Linked DNA regions of Oryctolagus cuniculus. The protein of the gene in region 3 purifies or fractionates together with the protein of the main gene of each other region. This does not show direct contact. Links are inferred from orthologs where the notes say so. Each region holds a gene or a part of one and is shown on either strand. Other genes may lie near its edges.

What was found.
Region 1: the proteins of COPS4 (region 3) and CUL4B purify together in Homo sapiens (affinity purification with mass spectrometry; 9 studies listed by BioGRID and IntAct, with this or other methods). This does not show direct contact. The link is inferred for Oryctolagus cuniculus from reciprocal best matches to the Homo sapiens genes COPS4 and CUL4B.
Region 2: the proteins of COPS4 (region 3) and DDB2 purify together in Homo sapiens (affinity purification with mass spectrometry; 7 studies listed by BioGRID and IntAct, counting the BioPlex papers as one, with this or other methods). This does not show direct contact. The link is inferred for Oryctolagus cuniculus from reciprocal best matches to the Homo sapiens genes COPS4 and DDB2.
Region 4: the proteins of COPS4 (region 3) and DTL purify together in Homo sapiens (affinity purification with mass spectrometry; 3 studies listed by BioGRID). This does not show direct contact. The link is inferred for Oryctolagus cuniculus from reciprocal best matches to the Homo sapiens genes COPS4 and DTL.

What each region holds. Positions count from the first base shown.
Region 1 is NC_091453.1:98,256,086-98,260,797, reverse strand, and holds part of CUL4B (cullin-4B), read left to right. Parts: intron 1-1,956; coding exon 1,957-2,109; intron 2,110-4,206; coding exon 4,207-4,302; 3' UTR 4,303-4,712.
Region 2 is NC_091432.1:18,715,234-18,721,215, reverse strand, and holds part of DDB2 (DNA damage-binding protein 2), read left to right. Parts: intron 1-2,377; coding exon 2,378-2,523; intron 2,524-3,698; coding exon 3,699-3,798; intron 3,799-3,886; coding exon 3,887-4,064; intron 4,065-4,320; coding exon 4,321-4,463; intron 4,464-5,646; coding exon 5,647-5,811; intron 5,812-5,963; coding exon 5,964-5,982.
Region 3 is NC_091439.1:82,814,133-82,820,824, reverse strand, and holds the start of COPS4 (COP9 signalosome complex subunit 4), read left to right. Parts: upstream 1-2,557; 5' UTR 2,558-2,794; coding exon 2,795-2,868; intron 2,869-6,692. UniProt on the Homo sapiens protein: Component of the COP9 signalosome complex (CSN), a complex involved in various cellular and developmental processes.
Region 4 is NC_091444.1:26,583,053-26,589,034, reverse strand, and holds part of DTL (denticleless protein homolog), read right to left. Parts: intron 4,404-5,982; coding exon 4,291-4,403; intron 1-4,290. UniProt on the Homo sapiens protein: Substrate-specific adapter of a DCX (DDB1-CUL4-X-box) E3 ubiquitin-protein ligase complex required for cell cycle control, DNA damage response and translesion DNA synthesis.

The DNA of each region.
Region 1 (4,712 bases), on a different chromosome or scaffold from region 3:
TTTTTCTTGTACTTAATTTTTTTTTTCATTTTATTTGAAAGGTAGAGAGACAGAGGAATGCTGGTTCACTCTTAAAATGCCTGCAACAGCCAGGGCAATCCCAAGCCAAAGCCAAGTGCCTGGACCCAATCTGGATCTCCCATATGGTTGGCAGGTACCCAAGTACTTGAGCCATCATCTGCTGCCTCTCAGGGTACATAGCAGGAGGCTGGATCCAAAAGTGGATGAATCGATACTCAAATCAGACACTCCTATATGGGGTGCAGGTGTTCCAAGTAGTGACTGACTTAAACTACTGCATAAATGCCCACCTCTAAAAAGTATTTTATACCAGTAATACTAGCAGTACCATTAACATTTTCTGTACCTGTATCTAGCTGAATATGTTTCAGTATTTAATTTTGGGTTTTTTGTTGTTGGAGGCTGCACATGATTGGTTCAGGCTTTCAGCAGTTTTATATCCTGTTAAGAATTTTTCTGTGCCATTAAATTCCTTAAGAAATCACAACTGGCTTTATAATAAATACTCTTTGACATGGCTGGCCACTGTTCATTATTTGGCAGTTAAATTTATCACTTTTTAGCATTACGAATGAATAATGCTGTAAGAAACATCTTTGTACCTAAATCTTAATCTCTCTGATCCTTTCCTTATGATAAATCCATGGAAGTCGATTTCTTTGGATCAAAGGGTGTGAATATTTTAAGAGTCTTAGTGCATAAGGTCATATTGTATTCCAGAAAGGCCAAACCAATTTATACTTGGACCAGCAACATATGAGTGTCTATCTTGTTATGCCCTCCCCAACACTAAAGATTAAATTTTCTTCTTTAGATTTGTCAATTTGCTTGGTGAGAAATCTGAATGATTTAGTTAGTATTTGTTTTATTGACAGTGGAGGTGAATATTTTATTTTGGCATTTGAATTTGCAAGAGATTTTTATTAAGGAAACCAAGTGTAGCATTCTGAAACCAGTTATTCAGTTCCAACAATGTGTAATGCAATATTTGAGAAACAATTTTAATGTGGGACAAGGATAAGTATCTTCAAAAAAGTTCCTGTTACATTTACATAGGCATCAGAGGAATGATACTCCCTTAAAGGATTATCATAACCTTACTTTTTAAGACATTTATGCTATGGAGTTGGCATTTGGTGCAGTGGTTAACATTTCTTGGAACACCTACAGTCCATATGGGAGTGTCTGGGTTTGGGTCCTGGCTCCTGATTCCAGTGTCCTATTAATGCACACTGTGGAAGGCAGCAGGTGATGGCTCAGGGAGTTAGGTCCCTGCCACCCATGTGGGAGACCTAGATTGAATTTAAATGAAAAAAATTAAGCTGTACTAGAAAGAAACTGCTGCAACAAAATCTAAACTTTTGGTTCAGTTACTAAAGGTTGTCATTTTTAATTTTGCATCAAGTGTGATAAACTGCTAAACACTTAAATCTCTGTTAGTCTTAAAGGAATGTAAGCATTAATGGCATGCATTTCTGGTTTATATATTACAAAATAAAAGTTAATTGTCAAAGAACTTGATGCCAACCAGTTTACTTAGCTACTTAATACCATGATTTGAGACAGAAGTCAGTCAGTTTATAGATGAGATACTGTTATACAGAAATCTGGTCAACAACCCCTTGTAACTGACATATTTAGAAGAGAGTCAAAGAAAATGGTAAATTCTGTCTCAAACATCCTTACTTCCAGAAAAGTAGTTCAAAGATAGTATTTTCTGCTAAGTAATGTTGGCATTACTTCATTGATACAGGGCAATATAATTAGAAAGGAGCTATGTTTGCAGGGTTTTTTCTGTCATCATCTGTAAGGTCCCATTTAGATAATTCAGTATATTTAAAGCAGTGAGTGGTATGTCACTAAAATGTACAAATTTGTATAAGTAATCATGTTTCACTTCAGGTATAATTCTTAAATTTAAAACCCTCTTGTTAGGTTGAGGAACAAGCAAGTACTACAGAAAGAGTATTTCAAGACAGACAATATCAAATTGATGCTGCAATTGTTCGAATTATGAAGATGAGAAAGACACTTAGTCACAATTTGCTTGTTTCAGAAGTGTACAACCAATTGAAATTCCCAGTAAAGGTAGGTATTCTGTGTTTTCATATTGAGCTTCTTATAAAAGGATACATTAAATTTTCAGGCACAAATCCTGTAAGCATAGATGAAAGCCTCAAGAGCATTTGGTGAAACAAAAGTATTTCCCATGCTGATGCATATGATTCAGGAAAAAAATTGTTGGCATAGGGGCAACTGTGAAAAAAGGGGACAACAATTTAGTAAAACTCTCAAACTTGTAAGTTTAACTGCTAAATGAGTTGTTTAAACTTTTTTCATTCACTATTTTCATTTGAACTTCTTTCTTATTTCTTTTCTCCTTGAAATACCTTGATATTTGCCAGATGTCATTATTTTAGATAGAGTCAAATCTGTTGGTTAGGTTACATTAAGTGTCTGAACTGTGTACAGACTGGTATCGTTTTGAAAATTTTAATGATAGTTCTGGTCAACTGAAATTGGTTGGTTAATGGACATATTCCAAGGTAACTGCCCAGTAATGAAGACATATAGGGTGATATTGTATTGGAATATTGTGTAAGTTCCAGAATATTTCCAAACCCTTGTGTTGATAAACTCTTGATAAGAGTTTTAATAGACTCCTGGCTATTAGGATTTCTATAAACTTTGGACTTTGATATATCACTTCACCTGAGCTTGTTTCCTCTTTTGTAAAATGTTGCTAATAGTAGTACTTACTTTATATAATTATGAGGTTTTCATGAGATCCTGAATATGAAAAATTCAGAACTGGACCTAGCATATAATCAGCCCTCAGTAGCTATTTTAATTAAGAGGTTTTTTTTCTCTCTTCCAAGCCTGATACTGTCACCTCATTACAGCTCTGTCACCCTCATGCTCTGCCTAACAATTACTGCACCTCTAGCCATAGAGATCACTGATGCTAGGGAAGTTAAGGGATTGCTTTCCTAAAAAGACTGTTCTGGTATTCTAGGTCTTTTATTATAATGAAGAGAAAATCATTTTATTGAACTTTAAGATTACTGGATAAAAATTATGACTAAAGTTTTGACTGCCCTATCAGATTCCTTTCCCTTTCATTTTACATATTATGAAAAATTTAGTAGGCAAGATGATACAGTTGACCCCTCCATATCTGTGGATTTCACATGTGCATATTCAACCAACTATAAATAAAAAAATATTTGAAAGCAGTGGGGCTGTACTGAACACGTACAGACTTTATTTCTTGTCATTATTCCCTAAAAAATGCAAAATAGCAGTTATTTACTTAGGATTTATACTGTAATAGATATAATAAGTAATTTAGAGTTGATTCTAAAGTATATGGAAGGATGTACATGGGTTATATGCATATATTACACCATTTTGTATAAGGGGCTTGAGCATCCTTGGATTTTGGCATGAGGGCAAGGGAGGATCCTAGAAGCAATGCCTGCAGATACCAAAGGATGCCTGTACTTTTTATAGTCTAGACATACACTCAAGCATATAGTTGAATTTTGTCATCTGAGAGCTAAGAATACAGTCATGAAGGCAAACTGTCAAGATTTATTTTTATTTATTTGAAAGAGTTACAGAGAGATTCAGAGATCTTCCATCCATTGATTCGCTCCCCAAATGGCTGCAGCTGCCTCAAACTGGTGCTCATATATGATGCTGATGGTGGCTTAACTCATACCATAACACTGGCCCCCATATTTTAAGTTAATTTATAAAAATTAAACTTAACTTGCAGAATTAGCTTTTGCCCAAAGTAAAAGTGGATTGTCCTCTCAAACTATCTCAGCAAAACTAAATTTCTGATTTCTCAAGCTATAATGTATTCCTCATGTGAAATTCTGTTATGTTTAGTCTTTTGTATTTAACTGTGCAGGGAGTAGCTGGTTCTGGGAAGATTTCTTTAAAATAAAATAGAAAATGTTGCAAAAGTGTAGCATTGTAGTATATGTATAAAATACTTCTTAACCTGATTTTTATTATATTTTTCTCTAAAATAGAGATTTAAATAATATGAACAGGTAAGATTACATATATTAAGTCAATAAACCAAAATTTTCTTTTTTTGATGGGGCATGTTAGTAAGTGAGTTTGAGCCAATGATCATAAACTTTGCATTGAAAATTTGCCTTCTCTTAACAGCCTGCTGATCTTAAGAAGAGAATAGAATCCTTAATTGACCGGGACTACATGGAAAGAGATAAAGAAAATCCAAACCAGTACAACTATATTGCATAGATGTTGACCTTGGCACACTTGGGGTCCTATGCAGTAGCCAGTGATAAACTAACCTGTTGATCCTATATTATCTGACTCTGTTTTTTATTACCAATGACCAAACGAAGCGGTGTAATGGAAATAGTTGAGTGAACATTTTTTTCAGTGGTTAACATGCCCATTTTTAAGAGTAATACTTACTTTAAGAAGAATGCTGTTGAACTCTTTGCATGTTATTTAGTATGATGTGCAGAAAACTCTTAAGAAAGTACCTGGTCTTCATGAATCCTCTTTGGAACAAGGGAAGAGGTCCCTATGACTATTAAAAAAAAGGGAGGGGGGTTCTTATACACCATTAATGATGAGGCAGAAGGTTTATTTGCTTAAAATGTCATTTAAAGATACTTAAGCTGCATGCAAAATTTATTTAC
Region 2 (5,982 bases), on a different chromosome or scaffold from region 3:
TGAGCTGGGGCTTGAGCAGGCCAGGTTGGGAGCCAGGGACACAATCCAGGTCTCCCATGTGGTGGCAGGAGCCCAGTTATTTGAGCCATCACCACTGTCTCCCAGTGTCCATATTAGGAAGCCGGAATCAGGAGCTGGGAGCCTGGAATTAAAGCCAGGCACTGCAGAGTGGAAATGCAGGCATCTCGGCTGTCATGTTACCCTCTGGGCTGAGGATCATTTTATTTGTGAGCTTTAGGAGATCTTTTATATGTTCAGAATATTACCTCTGAATCAAATATACAATTCTCGAGCCTTTTTTAGTTTCCCCCCTTCCATTCTGGATCTTTTCCATTGATGCCTGATTGATTTTTCCTATTTAACCAAACCTGGCATTATTGGAATGAACCCACTTGGTCATAGTGTGTTTATCCTTTTTAAATGTCACTGGATTGAATTTGCTGATATTTTATATAGGACATCTGTATTCTCTTCATATGTAAGAGTGGCCAGTACTTTGATATGTCCTTGTCAGATCTGGGTAACAAGGTTATACTGACATCATACACTTGGGAATTATGCCCTGTTTTCTAGTCTGTGGAGAGTTTAAGAGTGGTATCTCGGGGCCAGCGATGTGGCACAGCGTGTTAAAGCCGCCGCCTGCAGTGCCGGCATCCCATATGGGTGCTGGTTCAAGTTCCAGCTGCTCCTCTTCCAATCCAGCTCTTTGCTATGGCCTGGGAATGCAGTACAAGATGGCCCAAGTCCTTGGGCCCCTGTACCCACGTGGGAGACCCAGAGAAGGCTCCTGGTTCCTGGCTTCGGATCAGCGCAGCTCCAGCTGTTGTGGCCATCTGGGGAGTGAACCAGCGGATGGAAGACCTCTCTCTCTGTCTCTACCTCTCTCTGTAACTCTTTCAAATAAATAAAATAAATCTTAAAAAAAAAAAAAAAACTCGTTAAAAAAAAAAAGAGTGGTATCTCTTCCTCTTTTTCATCTTCTTCCTCCTCCCTTTCCTTCCTGAACAGTCGAAACCAGAAGTCATTAAATGGTAGACTCAAGCAGGACCAGTATTTACATAGTGGGGAGGCCTCGGTGGTCTGGTGGCAGCCGAGACGGACATCAGTGCGGGTGGTGGCAGGTGGCAGCTCAGCAAAGATTCAGGGCTCCCAGACTGGGTGACAGGTAGAGGGAAGGTGGTGGTGGACCGGCATGGAGTAGTGGAGGCTGATCCAGCGGCGAGAACAGATTGTCTTACAAGCAGCAAGTCTTGGTAGGCTGTGAGCACTGATGCCGATGGTGTTAGAGGGATGGAACCTGTTGACGTGGTTGTTGGATAGGAGACCTTGCCCAGGTCTATGAGGCCAGGGTAGCATAAAGAGGAGTGAAGGAGCTCTGAGAGAGTGAAGTGTTTAACAAAACAGTGTGTGGGATATAATAAGTACTTACTGTGGCCCAGCCATTGGTAGTGTGGTTGTTTTCGTCTTCCTTGTCTGCAAAAGCAGGAAGGGGGACGGATCTGACTCTTGCCCTCCTTATCCTGCCGCCAGTGCGAGCTGAAGCTCTTCCAGAAAGAGCGCGTGGGAGCGGCACCCTGGCACAGCCGTGCCGCACTGCGCTGCCTCAGCAACCAGTGGCAGGGGCTCCGAGGCCGCACACTATGCACGCATTTCTTTCTTTCTTTCTTTCTTTTCTTCAGATTTTATTTTTTATTTATTTGAAAGGCAGAGTTACAGAGAGAGGGGAGACAGATCCTTCCATTTGCTGGCTCCCTCCCCAAATGGCCACGATGGCCAGGGCTGGGCCAGGTGGAAGCCAGGAGCCAGTAGCTTCTCCCAGGTGTCCACATGGGTGCAGGGGCCCAGGCACTTGGGCCATCCTCTGCCGCTTCCCTGGGCGCATTAGCAGGGAGCTGGATCAGAAATAGAGCAGCCGGGTCTCGAACCGGCGTCCAGATGGGATGCCAGTGTTGCAGGCGGAGGCTCACCGTGCTATGCCACAACACCGACCCTGGGACTTGTCTGTGATATTCTGTGCAGGCAGCTCTAGTGTTGGGGAACAGATCAGTGGGTGCCAGAGGTTTTGGGGTGAGGGGGAGAGTGTGACTACAGTGGGAAAGCAGAGCACTAGGGAGTTTTGGGGGTGATAGTGTGTTCTACATCCTGATTTTGGTGTTGGTTATTCAAATCTGTACATGGGTTAAAATTCATAGATCTGTATACCAAAAGTAGTATTTATTGTGTGTGAATTTTAAAAAGCACACTGTGGAGACAGCACCTTGGGGTCTGGGTGTCGGGACCGACTGGCGTTTGTGTCAAAGCACAGTCCACGTGCCCAGGCCTGGTTCCTCGCTTCCGGCCCCTCATCACTCACTGGCTTTTTCCTTCCTCGTGTTAGATTGGAGCTGGAGGGAGCATCACTGGGCTGAAGTTTAACCTTCTCAATACCAACCAGTTTTTCGCCTCCTCAATGGAGGGAACAACTAGGCTGCAAGACTTTACAGGCAACACCCTCCGAGTTTTTACCAGCTCAGACACCTGCAAGTGAGTAGCCGAACTAGCATGGCAAGGGCTTCCAGCTCCAGGTGTAGTCCTGGCGAGAGCATCCTGACCCCGCTTCTGTTACCTGCACCTGGCCAGGAGGAACGAGAAGGCGTTCGCCACTTTCCACCCTTCCCTCCCTTTTTCAAACTCTGGCTACTCTGACTGCCGTCCAGGTGGGCTCCTGCTTTGGGAAGGTGTTCTGGAGCCTCGGCTCTTCTCGGCTTTTCTCTAAGTCACACCTGTGTTAGGCTCGACCTTGGCTCTCACGAGACAAGTCAACGTGGTGGTGGCCCAGGGTGGAGCAGGCACTTAGGACTTCAGACGCAATTCCTTCTGTTCGTTGGCGGGTGAGGAACTCACCAGTTCCTTGGTGGAAGCTTCAGTGGATCCAGTAGTGTCCAAAAAGTGCTCCGGGCTCCCCAAGAGCAAGGGGCTGGAGGAATTAAAAATGCAGGTCCCTCCGCGTTCTAGCCAGAGACCCAAGTCTACCTGCTCCCTAAGGAGTTAGGTGAGGGGCGGGGTCTGACAGCTAGCACTGGGTTTCCTGGGCTGCCCCACAGGGACAGGTGACTGGCTAGACTCAGCTCCATGTTGGTCTTCCACAAGAAACCCTCTCGCTTAAAGATCCTGAAGGGGAACGACCAAAAGGCAGACTAGCGTGGCTCTGAGGGTTTAGGGGAACAGATGTGCATCTGGGCTGCAGGTCGTGTGTGCTTTACCCTAACTGCTCAGAAGGGGGCAGACATTTCTTTCCGGCCAGCTCTGAGTAGCACAGCGGGGCAGTTTCTGCTTGGCGTGTCTTCTCCTTTAGCCCCAAGGTGGAGAGGGAAGGCAGAGAAAGGAGACCGAGGTTCTAGCAGCTGTGGGGCCCAGCTAGCCAGGAGGCTTGCCTTAGGGCCCGAGGTCTCACTGCGTCTGGGACTCTCCCTGGCTCAGGACGCTAGGCCCGGCAGAGACTGGACACATTTTGGAGCCCCCCTCACCCTCATTCCCTCTGTTTGGCTGGTAGACAAGACTGAGTGTTCTTCCTGGGAATCCATGGTAAGACAGATACTTCATTCATTCAACAAATATTTATTGAGCGCCTGCCGCGGGTTAGGCCCAGGAGCTGCAGCAGTGAGTTAAAGGACCTGTCTCTGGCCCCAGGAATCTCACAGTACAGTCTCTCCTTCCAGCGTGTGGTTTTGCAGCCTGGACGTGTCTGCCAGAAGCCGAGTGGTGGTCACAGGAGACAACATGGGGCATGTGTTCCTGCTGAACATGGACGGTAAAGAGGTGCGTGCTCTGAGCCCTGGGCGCGCCTTCCCTCCCCTCCCCCCACCTCAGTTCTCTGTCCCCAGCTGAGCCGGGCTCTCCTCTGCAGCTCTGGAATCTCCGAATGCACAAAAAGAAAGTGACCCATGTGGCTCTGAACCCGAGCTGCGATTGGTTACTGGCCACAGCCTCCGTAGACCAAACAGTGAAAATCTGGGACCTGCGCCAGGTTAGAGGGAAAGCCAGCTTCCTCTGCTCGCTGCCACACAAGCATCCTGTCAACTCAGGTGTGAACCCCACCTGTCTCAACACTCCGGGGCCTCCTGGGAAGTTTGGAAGCTGCTAGGCCGACCCTTTCTCCCCAGTGTCTCAGATCTCCTGTGGGCTACTGAGTTTCTAGAATTCTTCTGCTCACAGCCCTGGTTCACCTCTGCCCTTTCCCCCCATCTCAGAGGTGTCAGAGGGAGGGCGCCCCCGCGAGAAGCGGCCCGACGGGGGCGGGGCTTCCGGTTTCTGCAGCTTAGGTGCTTGTCACTTCCCCAGCCTGCTTCAGTCCTGACGGAGCCCGGCTCCTGACCACGGATCAGAAGAATGAGCTCCGGATTTACTCTGCCTCCCAGTGGGACTGCCCCGTGGGCCTCATCCTGCATCCTCACCGGCACTTCCAGCACCTCACTCCCATCAAGGTGAGTGACAGAGTGACGAGAACGCGCAGAGGGAGTGGAGAGCGTGGGGACGGACCAGGTCTGCCCAAGGTGGGGAGGGGGCAGGCGTGTGAGCCTGCAGCTCCAGACCTCTTCTTGCCCCAGCAGACAGTCTCTCAGCCTTTCGGCGCTCTCTGTTCCTTTTATGCCACGTTTGCAAGTCCAGTTGGTGGGGCCGTCTTTGTCTCTCTGAGAAGCTGTCTCCCTCAGGAGTTTCAGCCCAGCCCTGACCTGTGAGCATGTGCAGAATGCTGAGCTTCTGCCCTGCCCTCTCGGTTTCAGTTACCCGTGTGTGTGGGTCCACAAACTAACCTTCACCTTCTTAGTTTGTCTTGCAGGTTTAGGTGGCTTCTAATAATAGAAATAAGTCCCTTCCTTTCCCATTTTGGATCTCCGTTTCCTCATCTGTAAAAAGGGAATAATAGTATCTAACTGATAGGGTTGTTGTGAGGATGAATCAGTGTACTTAAAGCACTTGGCACCATGCCTAGCACCGGGTGAGTACTCAGAAAATGATGACCGCTTAGTACCGCACGTACCTCAAATCATATCCAAGCACCTACTAAGGAATCCCAAGAATCCTTCCTCAGCTGGTGTTCTTGTTAATCCATCTGTCCTGATCTGCCGCCTCGTATCCAGCCAGGCCAACCCGCCGTCTGTGATTAGTGGTACCATTTCTTCCTTCCTGCTAACCACATCTTTGCTCCTTCAAAACTTCCTTGAGAAATTGTATCAGGAAAATCCCATCCAATTTGTGATTTCTGGATGAGTGGGGTAGGCTGGGCTACTGGAGTTCCTTTCCTTTTTCAGTCTTGAGTGATTTTACACACAGCTCCTGATTATCCACGCTGACGGAGGGGTGGCAGTGGGGTTACTTCAGATTTCTGTCCTAAGTAGTTCTGATTACCACAGGCCGTTCACTTTGTTGTAGGCCTACCTGTTAACGCCTAGGCCAGGTTGATGTTGAAAGCGGCAGGAAGTGCAGGAGAGAAGGCCTCAAGGTGTCCAGGGGCCAGGGAGGCCAGCGGGGGATTAGAAGTCTGCAGTTGCACGTGGGTCGCAGCGCCTCTGTTGCGGTGTTGGCTTGTTAGCAGCAAAGAATGGTTTTGATGTCCCTCGAGGGCGTTCTGTGTTTATTCCCCTGACTAGCCTCTCCGTCTTACAGGCAAGCTGGCACCCTCGGTACAACCTCATTGTCGTGGGTCGGTACCCAGATCCTAATTTCAAAAGTTGCGCTCCCTACGAACTAAGGACGATTGACATGTTTGACGGAGGCTCAGGGAAGATGATGTGTCAGCTCTATGACCCAGAATCTTCTGGGATCGTTTCGGTGAGACTCGGGCCCTCCAATACTGATGGGAGGAAGCAAGCATTCGATCTACCTCATTACTGACCCCAGTGACCCGGAGTTAGTCCTCTGTGCCCCGCCCTGTGCCTCCTGATTCCTTCACCCTGCTCATGCTGATACTCTTGTCTTTGCAGCTTAACGAGTTCAATCCCA
Region 3 (6,692 bases):
CTGGGCCTGGCAGAAGCTTCCTCTGGGTCTCCCACCTGGGTGCAGAGGCCCAAGGACTTGGGCCATCTTCTACTGCTTTCTCAGGCTGTAGCAGAGAGCTGGATTGGAAGAGGAGCAGCCAGGATTAGAACCGGCACCCATATGGGATGCCAGCACTGCATGTAGAGGCTTAACCTTCTTTGCCACTGTGCTGGGCCCTATATTCTGTTTTGTGGTGTGCAGTATTACCTGATTCTGGAATTGAAAATAAAGCCAGGGGCCGATGCATGGCTCACTTGGTTAATCCTCTGCCTACAGCGCCGGCATCCCATATGGGCACCGGATTCTGTCCCAGTTGCTCCTCTTCCAGTCCAGCTCTCTGCTGTGGCCTGGGAGGGCAGTGGAGGATGGCCCAAGTGCTTGGGCCCTGCACCCGCATGGGAGACCTGGGAGAAGCACCTGGCTCCTGGCTTCGGATTGGCGCAGTGCCACCGGCTGTAGCGGCCATTTGGGGAGTGAACCAGTGGAAGGAAGACCTTTCTGTCTCTTTCTCTGTCTATAACTCTGTCAAATAAATTTTTAAAAAATTAAAAAGAGAAAGAAAATAAAGCCAAATAAATCTAGTTTAAACCAGATTGTCCTTAGACACAACTGAATGAGAAGTTGAACTCTTTCCTTAGGGAGGGAGTATGTTGTCCTGTGAAGGACACAAAGATTTTTAGGTGAACAGAACAGATCATAGCAGTAACTACTGTTTGTACCACTATGTTCACCCTTTCCTTTTCTTTGTGAGCACAAGGCAACACAAGGGGAAATTAAGTTTCCAGAATCACTATTATTAGGCATTCTTGCCAGTGGAATGGGATCTGAATTGATGTGGGCAATTTCCACTTTACTTTCTTAAAAGGAATTTATTCTGGACTTTTTTTTTCTCCTTTGCAATAGAGGAAATATGCCAATTATCACATCTCGAGATGGCAAAAAGTTCAAAGGTTTGAATTTTGTAGGCAAGACTGTAAGACATTGCACTCTTAGATACTTCTGGTAGGAGGGCAAAATGATAGCATCCCTATCAAGTGAAACTTTACAATATATATCACAATTTTAAGTATGTCTCCTTTGAGTCATTTCTGGGAATGTGTTTTGCTGGTACATAATTCTATATAAAATGATGTACAGGAAAAGTTATTCATTGCAGGAGTGGCTGTTTGTTCTGGCAGTTAGGATGCTCAGATCCCATCCTGGAGTGCCTGGGCTCCATCCATGCTCTGCTCCTGGCAATGCAGACTCTGGGAGGCAGCAGTGATGTCTCAAGTGGTTGGGTTCCTGTCATCCATACAGGAAAGTCTGGACTGTGTTCCTGGCTCCTGGCTTTGGCTGGAAACGGGAGTTTACCCTGTGTCTCTCCCTTTCTTAAAAACAATAACAATAACTACAATTATAATGTCTCACTCCCTAGACTTAAATGTCCTATAAGGATTAAGTAAATTTTGGCATACCTTCACTAGGTAGTACTCTCCACCTCTAAAACGAATGACTTTTAAGATGGGACTTAGGCCAGCGCCATGGCTCAATAGGCTAATTCTCTGCCTGCGGCGCCGGCACACTAGGTTCTAGTCTTGGTCGGGGCGCCAGATTCTGTCCCGGTTGCTCCACTTCTAGTCCAGCTCTCTGTTGTGGCCCGGGAGTGCAGTGGAGGATGGCCCAAGTCCTTGGGCCCTGCACTTGCATGGGAGACCAGGAGAAGCACCTGGCTCCTGGCTTCAGATCAGCGCGGTGCGCCCGCAGCGCGCCAGCTACAGTGGCCATTGGGGGGATGAACCAATGGCAAAGGAAGACCTTTCTCTCTGTCTCTCTCTCTCACTGTCCACTCTGCCTGTCCAAAAATAATAAAAAAAAGACTGGACTTAAATGGTAAGATCGCCAGGAAAAGTGAAAAATTCAAGAGCAGAACAATGAAACAATGTGCTTCTCATTGTAAAAGGAAGGAGATACACAGATTTCTACTTCTTTCAGAAATTCTCTAGGGATTTATAGAATATATATATATATATATATAAAATACACATTATATATAATAATACATGTTTTATATAATACATATATATAGAATATATATACACACATATATAAGATACATGAGTGATGAATGCAATCACCTATAAAGGGCGAGTGAACATATACTTTGTCACTCAGATGGAGTCGTTTCTAGAATGAAAAGAGGTGTTAATAAATACCTCAGGACACCAGACTAAAAATGGTACTGTCCTGGACACATGGGATGTATGATCAAACATTAAAAAAGATACCTGGTGTGTGTGTGGGGGTGGGTGGGACGCGGACATTTTTTATCTTATTTTTAAAAAGCACTGGTCTGTGGTGAATTGGAAATAAACAAAAAACTCGCCCTTTACCACACGTAGTTTCAGCGCTGCCTTAACGAACGAAGAATAAACCATAAACGTGAAACACGGACCTTAGCGCAAACGCAGTAGTTGTACGTACCGAGCCCTTACTGGAGCTGCACAAGCGACACACTCCCTTCAAGTTCATCAGCCAATCCCAAGTCGGAGCGTGAGAGCCAGCGCCTGTGGGAGAGGCCAGGGCGGGCCTGGGACGTGAGGAGTGAAGCGCCGTGTCATTCAACCCGGAGGGCGGAGGTAGCTCAGGTCCCGCCCCACCCACTGACGCTCTGGCCCGCGTAGGGGCTACTCTGTGGTATCCTTGGTTCTCTCTGGCCCCACTCCGGAGGACCATACTCGTTTTCTTTGAGGCTGTGAGGGGCCCCCTCAGCCAAGGCTGAGGTGGAAGAAAGATGGCGGCAGCCGTGCGACAGGATTTGGCCCAGCTCATGAATTCGAGCGGCTCTCATAAAGATCTGGCGGGCAAGTGAGTGTTTCCCGAGAGCAAGAGAGTGGGGAAGAGAGTGGGGAAGGAAGCCATAGTTCTCCTTGGGCTGACCGCCACCCTCGTGTTCGAGGCCTGACGACCGAGGGGGCGGGCCTGAGAGCGGCTGGGGCGGTGAGTGTTGCGGGGACCGGACCTTGTGCAGAGGCTCAGGAGGCCAGGGGCGCGGGGTGACTGTCAGCGTGTCCAGTCCTCCGTGGCGTCCTTCCTGGTCCCTCTGCATTCGGGAAGCGCGGTCAGCGGGACGACTGCTCCCCGGGCCTCCGCACGCTTCCCTGGTGCTCTTTCCCGTAGCGGCCTGGCCGCTCACCCCCCGGGCTGGCTCTGGATCTCTTTCCCTCTTTTAGAATGAGGGAAATTTCTATGCTGGCGTCTCGATGCGGAGTTTTCCGGGGCAGATGGGCTCTCGGGGTTCACGGGGACGGAGGAGGCATGGCCGCTGCCCTGTGGTCCGGAGCCACTCAGACCATCTTTGCTGGGTCCATGTGTGTTGGGTGCTCTCCTCGCCAGCAGCCTGAGGAAGGCGGAGTGTTCTGCCATCGTGGCTTAGCATCCTAAGTATTGATCTTTGCAGGAATCTGGATTGTGTAGGCATTTCGTCGAAGTGTTTGTAGACTACATAGGTTCACCGCCTGTTAGAATGTGTGACCCGTGCTTGTCCCGCAGGCGATTGCTCAGCAGTGTTAGGGATAGGTAGGCGCCTGTCGCCTCCGCTGCCTTTGCAGATTTGACAGCACTGCTCGTTTGTAAGGAACATGCTTTCTGTTTATATAAAGTAGGCTTCTCAAGTCGAACCAAATATTTACATCCTGACAGCTGAGATCACCTGCTTTGACCTAGGCATTGACATTGCTACTTTTTTTTTTTTTTTTTAACTGTAGGCTGTGCTGCCTTTTTTTCTGGTGGTAAATGTAATCAACTTATGTGGGTGAGCAGGACAGCTGTATATCGCAGCTTTACCTACTTTGCTGCATTTCTCGCTGAGGGAAATGGGGCTAATAAAAGGACTTATTCTTGTTTGAGTTTGCCTGAGGACAAAAATGAATATGTGCATATACTCATATATGAGGGAACATGGAATTTGTGGGAAAATGAAATTATGGATTTATTTTGGTGCAGAAGTTCCTGAGAGAAGAACTTTTTAGTATGTGGAAACTGTTTATTGTGAAAAGACTGCATGGATTTCTTTTTTTTTTTTTTTCCTTTAATTGTTTATTTGGAAATCAGTTACAAAGAGAAAGGGAGAGACAGAGGGAGAGAGATATTCCATCTGCTGGTTCACTCCTTAAGTGGCCGCAATGGCCAGGGCTGGGCCTTTCTGAAGCCAGGAGCCAGGAACTTCATCACCCAGGGGGGCAGGTGCCCAAGCACTTGAGCCATCTTCTACTGCTTTCCCAGGCGCATTAGCAGGAATCTGGATCAGAAGTGGAGCAGCCAGGACTCAAACCAGCACCCACATGGGATGCCAGCACTATAGGCAGCGGGTTTATTTGCTATGCTACAGTGCAGGCCCCAAGACTGCATGGATTTCAAAAAAATTTTTGCACTCAGATAAACTCGTATTTTTAATTCTATTTTTCATGAGCCTTTTGAAGTACCTTCATATCTACTTATTATACTTTTATCACCTAGAACAGTACCTGACACAGAGAAAGTGCCATCGAATTGTTGTTACCACTTTTAAGTAATCAGTAAAAATACACATGGACTTTTCCAAGGGTTGTAATAAGCTGAATACATCTTCATGACTAATTCCCTTTTGCGTGTAATTTTTATAAATTTGGATGAAAGTAAAGCAGCTTATAATTCCCCCTGTGCTTGCTTTAGTTTTTATTTTGTTGACTAAAAATAAGTGCAGCAGTTATTAGAAGACGTAGAGCTTTCTGAGCACTTGTGTAGTTCTGAAACTTCCGCTCAGTATTTGCTCCCTCAGTTCAGAACTGGAGCTAAACAGCAGAACCTGTTTTATAAGGTGCTTCAGTTATCTGTTTTCAAGTAACAAATGAAAAAGTTAGTGGTGTTAATCAACTTACTACTTCTCAGGATTCTGTGTGTTGACTGGGCTGTTTGGCTGGTCTTGTCTGGACTTAGACATAACCGGCAGCTCAGCTGGGGTTGGCCCCATACATATCTGGCTGTTGGCTAGATCTTGCTCTCTGCACGTATTCTCTCAGTCAGTAATTTAGGGCTTTCTTTTATGGCTCTGAGAGTGTTTGAAGAGGCTGTGAATAGAAGCCATAAAATCTTAAGGCTTATCTGGGTAGTTTTGCAGTACTGGTCAAAGTAAGTCACAAGACAGTCTACATTCCCAAGGAGGGGAAATGGAGTCTACCACTACCTCTTTTTTTCCCTTAATTGATTAATATACTTATATTCATCTTATTTGAAAAGCAGAGACAGAGAGTTTTTTTTTTAAAGATTTATTTTTGGCCGGCGCTGTGGCTCAATAGGCTAATCCTCCGCCTGCAGCACCGGCACACTGGGTTCTAGTCCCGGTCGGGGCGCCAGATTCTGTCCCGGTTGCTCTTCTTCTTGTCCAGCTCTCTGCTGTGGCCCAGAAAGGCAGTGGAGGATGGCCCAAGTGCTTGGGCCCTGCACCCGCATGGGAGACCAGAAGCATCTGGCTCCTGGCTTCGGATCAGCGCGGTGTGCCGCCGCAGCGGCCATTGGAGGGTGAACCAACGGAAAAGGAAGACCTTTCTCTCTGTCTCTCTCTCTCACTGTCCACTCTGCCTGTAAAAAAAAAAAAAAAAAAAGATTTATTTTTGAGAGGCAGAGTTAGAGAGAGTTCGAGAGATCTCCATTCGCTGGTTCACTCCCCAAATGGCCACAACAGCCTGAGCTGGGCCAGGATGAAGCCAGGACCTCCATCCAGGTCTCCCACGTGGATATAGGGGCTCAAGGACTTGTGCCATCCTCCACTGTTTTCCCAGGTGCATTAGCAGGGAGCTGCATTGGAATTGGAGCAGCTGGTGCTCTACTGTTATCCATATGGAATGCTGGCTTTGTAGGTTGCTTAACCCTTATGTTTCTATTTGCTGATTCACTTTCCAAACGCCTGCAATAGCCAGGGCTGGTCCAGACTGAAGCCGAAGTCAGGAGCCCAAAATTCCAGTCAGGTCTCCCACATAGGTGGCAGGGACTCAAGTACTTGAGCCATCATCTGCTGCCTCTCAGGATGTGCAGGAACAGAAAACTGTGTTGGAAGTGGAGTAGCTGGGACTCAGGGCTCACACCAGGCACTCTGCTATGGGTTGCAGGCTTCCCAAGCTGTGACTTCTGCCATTGGGCTAAATACCTGCCTCCATACCACTACCTTTTTAAGAGCAAAAGTTCACATTGTAAAGGGCCACGGACAGAGGAAGGTATGAGTCACTGGGAGCCATTACTTTAACATTGAACTATATGGGCTTATTGTGGAGATGACATGAAATAATGTGGTAACTGAGCCAGTGCCACCTTAGGGAGCAACTCCTATGGAACTGCTTTCTGAAACAAGTCTTGGCCTTACCCTTAGCTGTATTGGGTAACAATGTGTCAGGATATTTATCCTCATAACAAAACAGTTCTACCAGCTATATGCTTTATGAAAGAAATACTCTTGAACTGTATCAGCGATTTTAGGGTTTAAGAGCTGTGTACAAAGCATTCCATATTAAAGAATGATGGTGTACACTGGTTTCCAAAATAGTGATACTGTGTGTTCCTAACAGTTAGCAAGGTATCTGTAACAGTCATAGTTCTTTTTTTTTTTCTTTTTAAGATTTTATTTCTTTATTTGAGAGGCAGAGTTACAGACAGAGGGA
Region 4 (5,982 bases), on a different chromosome or scaffold from region 3:
TGAGAGAGAGAGAGACAGAGAGAAAGGTCTTCCTTTCTGTTGGTTCACCCTCTCAATGGCTGCCGTGCTGCGGCCAGCACACCGCGCTGATCCAAAGGCAGGAGCCAGTTACTTATCCTGGTCTCCCATGGGGTGAAGGGCCCAAGCACTTGGGGCCATTCTCCACTGCCTTCCCTGGCCACAGCAGAGAGCTGGCCTGGAAGGGGGCAACCGGGACAGAATCCGGTGTGATGGCGCCACAGGCAGAGGATTAGCCTAGTGAGCCGTGGCGCCAGCTCAATATTTTGTGGAACATTTTTTTAAATTAATTTGCTTAAAAATTTTTAATTTTCAAGTTAAGTCTTACGATATTTTAATACAGTTTAATTCATAAAGAAGGGTCACATCATGCTGTCCTGTACATATGACTAAGAATGTGCCTTTCCCATCACCACATGACACCAGTAAAATGCATTTCACAGCGTTGTACAGCTGAGTCACCCTAGAGATGTCAATCCCCTTTGCAGGAATCAGCACAGTAAGAAGTACAACCTCAGCCAGCGCCGCAGCTCACTAGGCTAATCCTCCACCTTGCGGCGCCGGCACACCGGGTTCTAGTCCCAGTCGGGGTGCTGGATTCTGTCCCGGTTGCCCCTCTTCCAGGCCAGCTCTCTGCTGTAGCCAGGGAAGGCAGTGGAGGATGGCCCAAGTCCTTGGGCCCTGCACCCCATGGGAGACCAGGATAAATACCTGGCTCCTGCCATCGGATCAGCGCGGTGCACCGGCTGCATCGCGCCGACCAAGGCGGCCATTGGAGGGTGAACCAACGGCAAAGGAAGACCTTTCTCTCTGTCCCTCTCTCTCACTGTCCACTCTGCCTGTCAAAAAAAAAAAAAAAAAAAAAAAAAGAAAAAAGAAAGAAGTACAAGAAGTACTACCTCCCAAAACGATTAAGCTCCCTGCTTATGCTCTAGGGAAAGTAGTAGAAAATGGCCCAAGTCCTGGGCCACTGTACCAATGTGGGAGACCCAGAAGAAGCTCCTGGTTCCTGGGTTTGGACTTGCCCAGCTCTGGCTGTTGTGGCCGTTTGGGGAGTAAACCAGTGGGTAGACAATCTCTGTCTCTCCCTCCTTCTCTCTCTCTGTAACTCTGCTTTTCAAATACATTTAAAAATAAATAAATAAAATGTTTCAAGAAAAATCATATGTCCATCAACACAATCTATGAACAATTAATCCATAGGGATTTTAGAGAAAAAAGAAACACTTGGAAAATTTTTTTATAATTTGATAAGTTATTAATAATAATAATGAAAGCCAATTGTTGATTGAATATTACCAGCTGGGCAATTTACTCAGCCTTAAAAGTGACAGAGAAGGCTCCTAAAAAAGTTACACAGAATTAATTACTATACAGCCTAGCAATAGTACTGTTAGCTATATGTCCCCACGAAAACTGAAAACATGTCCATACAAAAAACTTATATACAAATGCTCACAGCACTTTTATTTATCAATTCAAAAAGTGGAAACAATTAAAATGTCCACCAACTGATGAACAGATACATAAAATGTGACCCATCTACACAATGGAATATTATTCAACCATAAAAAGGAATGAAGTACTGATAACTCTGTAACATGGGTAAAACTTGGTAACATTATGCTAAGCAAAAGAGGTCAGAGACAAAATGCCACATATTTTATGATTCCATTTATATGAAATGTCTGCAACAGGCAAGATCAGAGATAGAATGTAGGTTAGCAGTTGTTGAGGGCAAGAGAATGGAGAGTCACTGTTAAAGGGAACGAGGTTTTTTTCTTGTGTGATAAATGTTGGAATCAGAGTGGTGATTGCTGCACTTGATGATTATACTTGATTATACTAAAAACGTCTGAATTGTCTGTTTTAAAATGAGTAGGCTGGCGAATCTGATGTTACATGAATTCTATATCAATAAGAAAAAAGTGGGGGAAGAAAATTGTAGGTTGGCATGAAAAACCTATCTAGTAAGTTTTTATGAATTTTACTCATGGGCACTTTGATAGTTTAGGACTAACCTATGGTATAGCACTTCACGACTCCTTCAAAGATTAATTTCCTCTAATAAAAATCAGGTGGACTTTAAATCTTTTGTTTTCATTTGTTAAGTTTTCATTTACTGCCACTTTGTTATTATACATGATTTCATCTTTAAAGCCCGCCTTTCCTTAAGACGGAAGGAGACTATGAAGTCCCAGGAACTGACATCCATGTACTAGGAGGATGGAGAGGAAAAACTGTCCTTTTTTCACATATTCTACTTTTTATAGAACAAAAACCTCATGGCATAAGAAATCCCAAAGTTACAGCTATGAAGGTAGCTCTAGAGGTAAATGACTCTTAATGTACAGACCTCAAAAAAAAAAAAAAGACTTAAACATGTAGAAACGATCAGCACTTTTCCTCACAAAACCTCTTACTGTGCCCAGTTGGAAACCAAATCTAATCTTTATTTTTGCCATGAGATCATTTACACTTCCTAAAGTGTCAGGCTCAGTGTTTCGCCAGTCAGCGGTAGAATGACTGTGCCAAATCAGTTTATTTATAGCCACTTCAGTACTATTCATTGGCTACATTAGAAACAAACCAGGGAAAAGGGGGTGGGGTGTGGGACAATGGGTAGGAAATTAAAAAGCATATTAAATCTTTGTATTTTTAATATTGGGCCTTGGCACCTGAGAATGTAAATTTATTACATCTCCCCCTAGTGAAGTTGTAATAAGAATTAAAAGGCCATTCTTTCCTGTCCTAAGATACACGCCTTCCTTCTTTCACTTGTTTTCTTATGCCCATGGACTTGGTAGCACAGAAAAAATTCTAATGCTTAAAAGAATTTTAATTTCTTGAACATGCAGCAAAGTTGTAAGACAATCTAACAGCAAGGATCATCAGTTTGTATCAAATTGCTTATAATTTAAAACTCCTCTCCTCCCCCCTTTTAGCATGGAAAAGAAAAACTGAGCAACCTCACTAGGCAAATTCAATTTTAGGAGCAGTAAGCTTGCCAGGATCTCAAATATCAGGGCCTGTACACTGAGTTATGTGTGGACAGGCAGGAGAACATCATGTCTAACCACGTCATTCAGCTGTGACATGTGACCCAGCCTAGGAATTCAAACGGTCACTCATGTATATGGTGGCCACTGACTAAATGTTTGAATATGGGTTAGAAACAACAGCCAAATATCTTTTGTGAGTGTCTTCAAAGGGAAGAAGTATAGCTTCAACCCTCATTCCCTGAAACAAAATTTTAAAAAGGTTTTTATGCTAGAGAAATTTTAAGAATTGGGAAGAAAACTATACATATATGTATGTATTTATAATACACAACATATATATGAGGGTACTTTAAGAAGTTTGTGGAAAAATGGAATTAAAAGATAATGTGCATTTTCCATGAACATTCTGAACTACCCTTGTGTGTGCACAAAATATATATGTAATTATGCATATGTACAATTTTAAAAACTGATGTAACTTGATTTTATAGAATTACCAGTACATATGTATTTTCTACACAATCCCCTATTATGCTTTTTGGTATGTCTGAAATTCAAATTGTTTCAAAGAACAAGAAATTTCAAAAGATAAAGACTTGTAATAGGAATAAAATTCTCTAGTTAAGTTGGAAGCTAAAGTAAAGAATGGAATGTAGGTATGATAATGAGGGAAAGATAAAGGAAAAGCGAAAAATTAGCAAAATAAGAAGCATAAGACCAATTTGAAATTCAAAATTTAGTATAGAACTCAGAAGCATTAGTGCTAGTGACAAGCACTGTTAACAGGCAGGCCCAACATAAAAGCATCTAGGCTAGAACAATATCTCCACCTTGTGATCATTTAGGATATTGTCACTGAAAGAAAGCTTTTAATAAGGTCATGTTGCATTTTTGCAACTCTACGTATATAGAAACCACTTTCGTTTTTTTAAATATTTCCCCCAGGACATTTTCTCCCTAGGGCTTCAAACTGAAAGCTTTATATTTCTTAGTTCAGAGTTGTCACTTTAAGAGTTACAATTATTTTCCTGGTAACATGTAGAACAGAGAATATGGATTATCAATTTGGGATACACCTTGGCCATGAAAATGAAAGTATCATACAGTCTCTGAGAGAGTGACGTTTCAGCTATCAAGTAGCAATCCCTACATCTGATGTGGAAGAAGCTAATAGTACATATTTTACATTAAAAGTACCTTGTATCAGACAGCAGAAATGTTTCCAAGAACACTTCAGTTTTGCATTTGTAGGGGGAGTCTGGCAACTTACCTTCCAGATGTAGGCAGCTTCATCACTGGAGCCACTGAGTAGAAACTGGTCATCTGGACTGAGACTGGATTTTACATAAAAGGTAGAGTTTTGGTGTCCATTGAAAACAGCCACTGCAAGAGGATAAAAAAGTTATCTGGTTCTTTTATTCCTAGTGTTCAAACAAGTACATTATTTATAGTATATATATTCTAAAAAGTTTTATCACTATATTAACCATTGAAGCAGATGGTCAAATTTTACTCAACAAGGGAAATAAATGGATACTGGCAAAAATAATAGAAAGCAGCTTTATATTATACCCAGTGTTATAAACTCAACCTACATGCTTGATATGACTATACTAAGTGATGAAAAAATACTTAAAGAAAAAGAATGCACGCACTGTTCAATCTGTTTATAAAACAAAAATTAAACCCTTTCTTGCTACCCTAGGTAGGTATTTTCTATTGGACTGATATATTAAATTTGTTTCCCTTCAGATTTCAAGCTTCCTAAGTGTAAATTTCACATCTTGTTCTTTCCTCACTAGACCTATGGTGCTCTGAACACAGTAAATCCTCAAACGTTTGTTCCATTTGAGTAAGAGTTACAGTAGCTTTACTAAAATGGAGGGCTCTTATATCCAGCACTTAATGTAGACTGTATGATAGAATAGCTAGTTAAATAAATTATAAAACACAATGTTAGGTTAGCTTCAGGTTTAGACTTCCCACTCTCCATGGCAAAAGGGCAAGTAATAATAATCTATATAAAAATCTAGCACAATGCACTCCTGACAGGTTTTTCTATCCTAAGAAGTCAAAACCTGAGGCCTCTGCCTCAGGAAACATAAGAGAAAAATCTGTTATTGGAGAATTTAAGGATTTATTCAGGCAGGAAAAAAAAGTCACTCCAACTTTTAACAAGGAGAATGAATTGCTAAGGTTCTCTGCTTTCCATAAGTCCACAGACACCTTCCTTTTTCTAAAATAAAACTGAAAATTTTTGTATTTATAGCTTTCAAAGAAAATGCCTGCCTATTACATACTTTCCATATCAGACATTTTTACTATAAAAGTAAAGCAGCGTATGAATCAACAGACATACATAATATATATCTGCCATCATAAAAAATCCTCTGCAAAATAAGCAGTCTTCTTTATTTGGAACATTGTCCCAAAACTGCAATTGTTCATCTTCCTCAACACTAAACTATGAGTGGAACATTATAGACTGCATTTCTCACTAAACCTCTAAGTATTTATTGCCCTCTACTGGTCTAAGAAAGATTGGTATGAAGTACATCACACTTGGAAATGTTTCAAATCCTGGTAAAGAAATCCTCTTATGAACATCATTTACTGTAAAACGGTGAATAAGAAGTATCACATCCGGGACCTTTTCTGAAGTTTTGAAAAAGACAAGTAATTACTAGATGTTTTAGACATATAACCCCTCCACTCCATGCCCCGTCATTAAATTTCTAAAGAACAAATCTGTGTCTACCTATTCACCCACCTACTGCCAATCTGTGAGAGCAAATCAAATTGTTTTAGGAGCATAGAAAAGGTTACTAAAGTGTTAGGAATGTTTATTTCCATAGGGACAAACTAAACTCAAGGCCCCTTTAATGCCACACTGTAAGGAAAATTATATAGAAACCACTCTTGCACATCTGAAAACATGATCAAGATTAGACACTAGCTATGG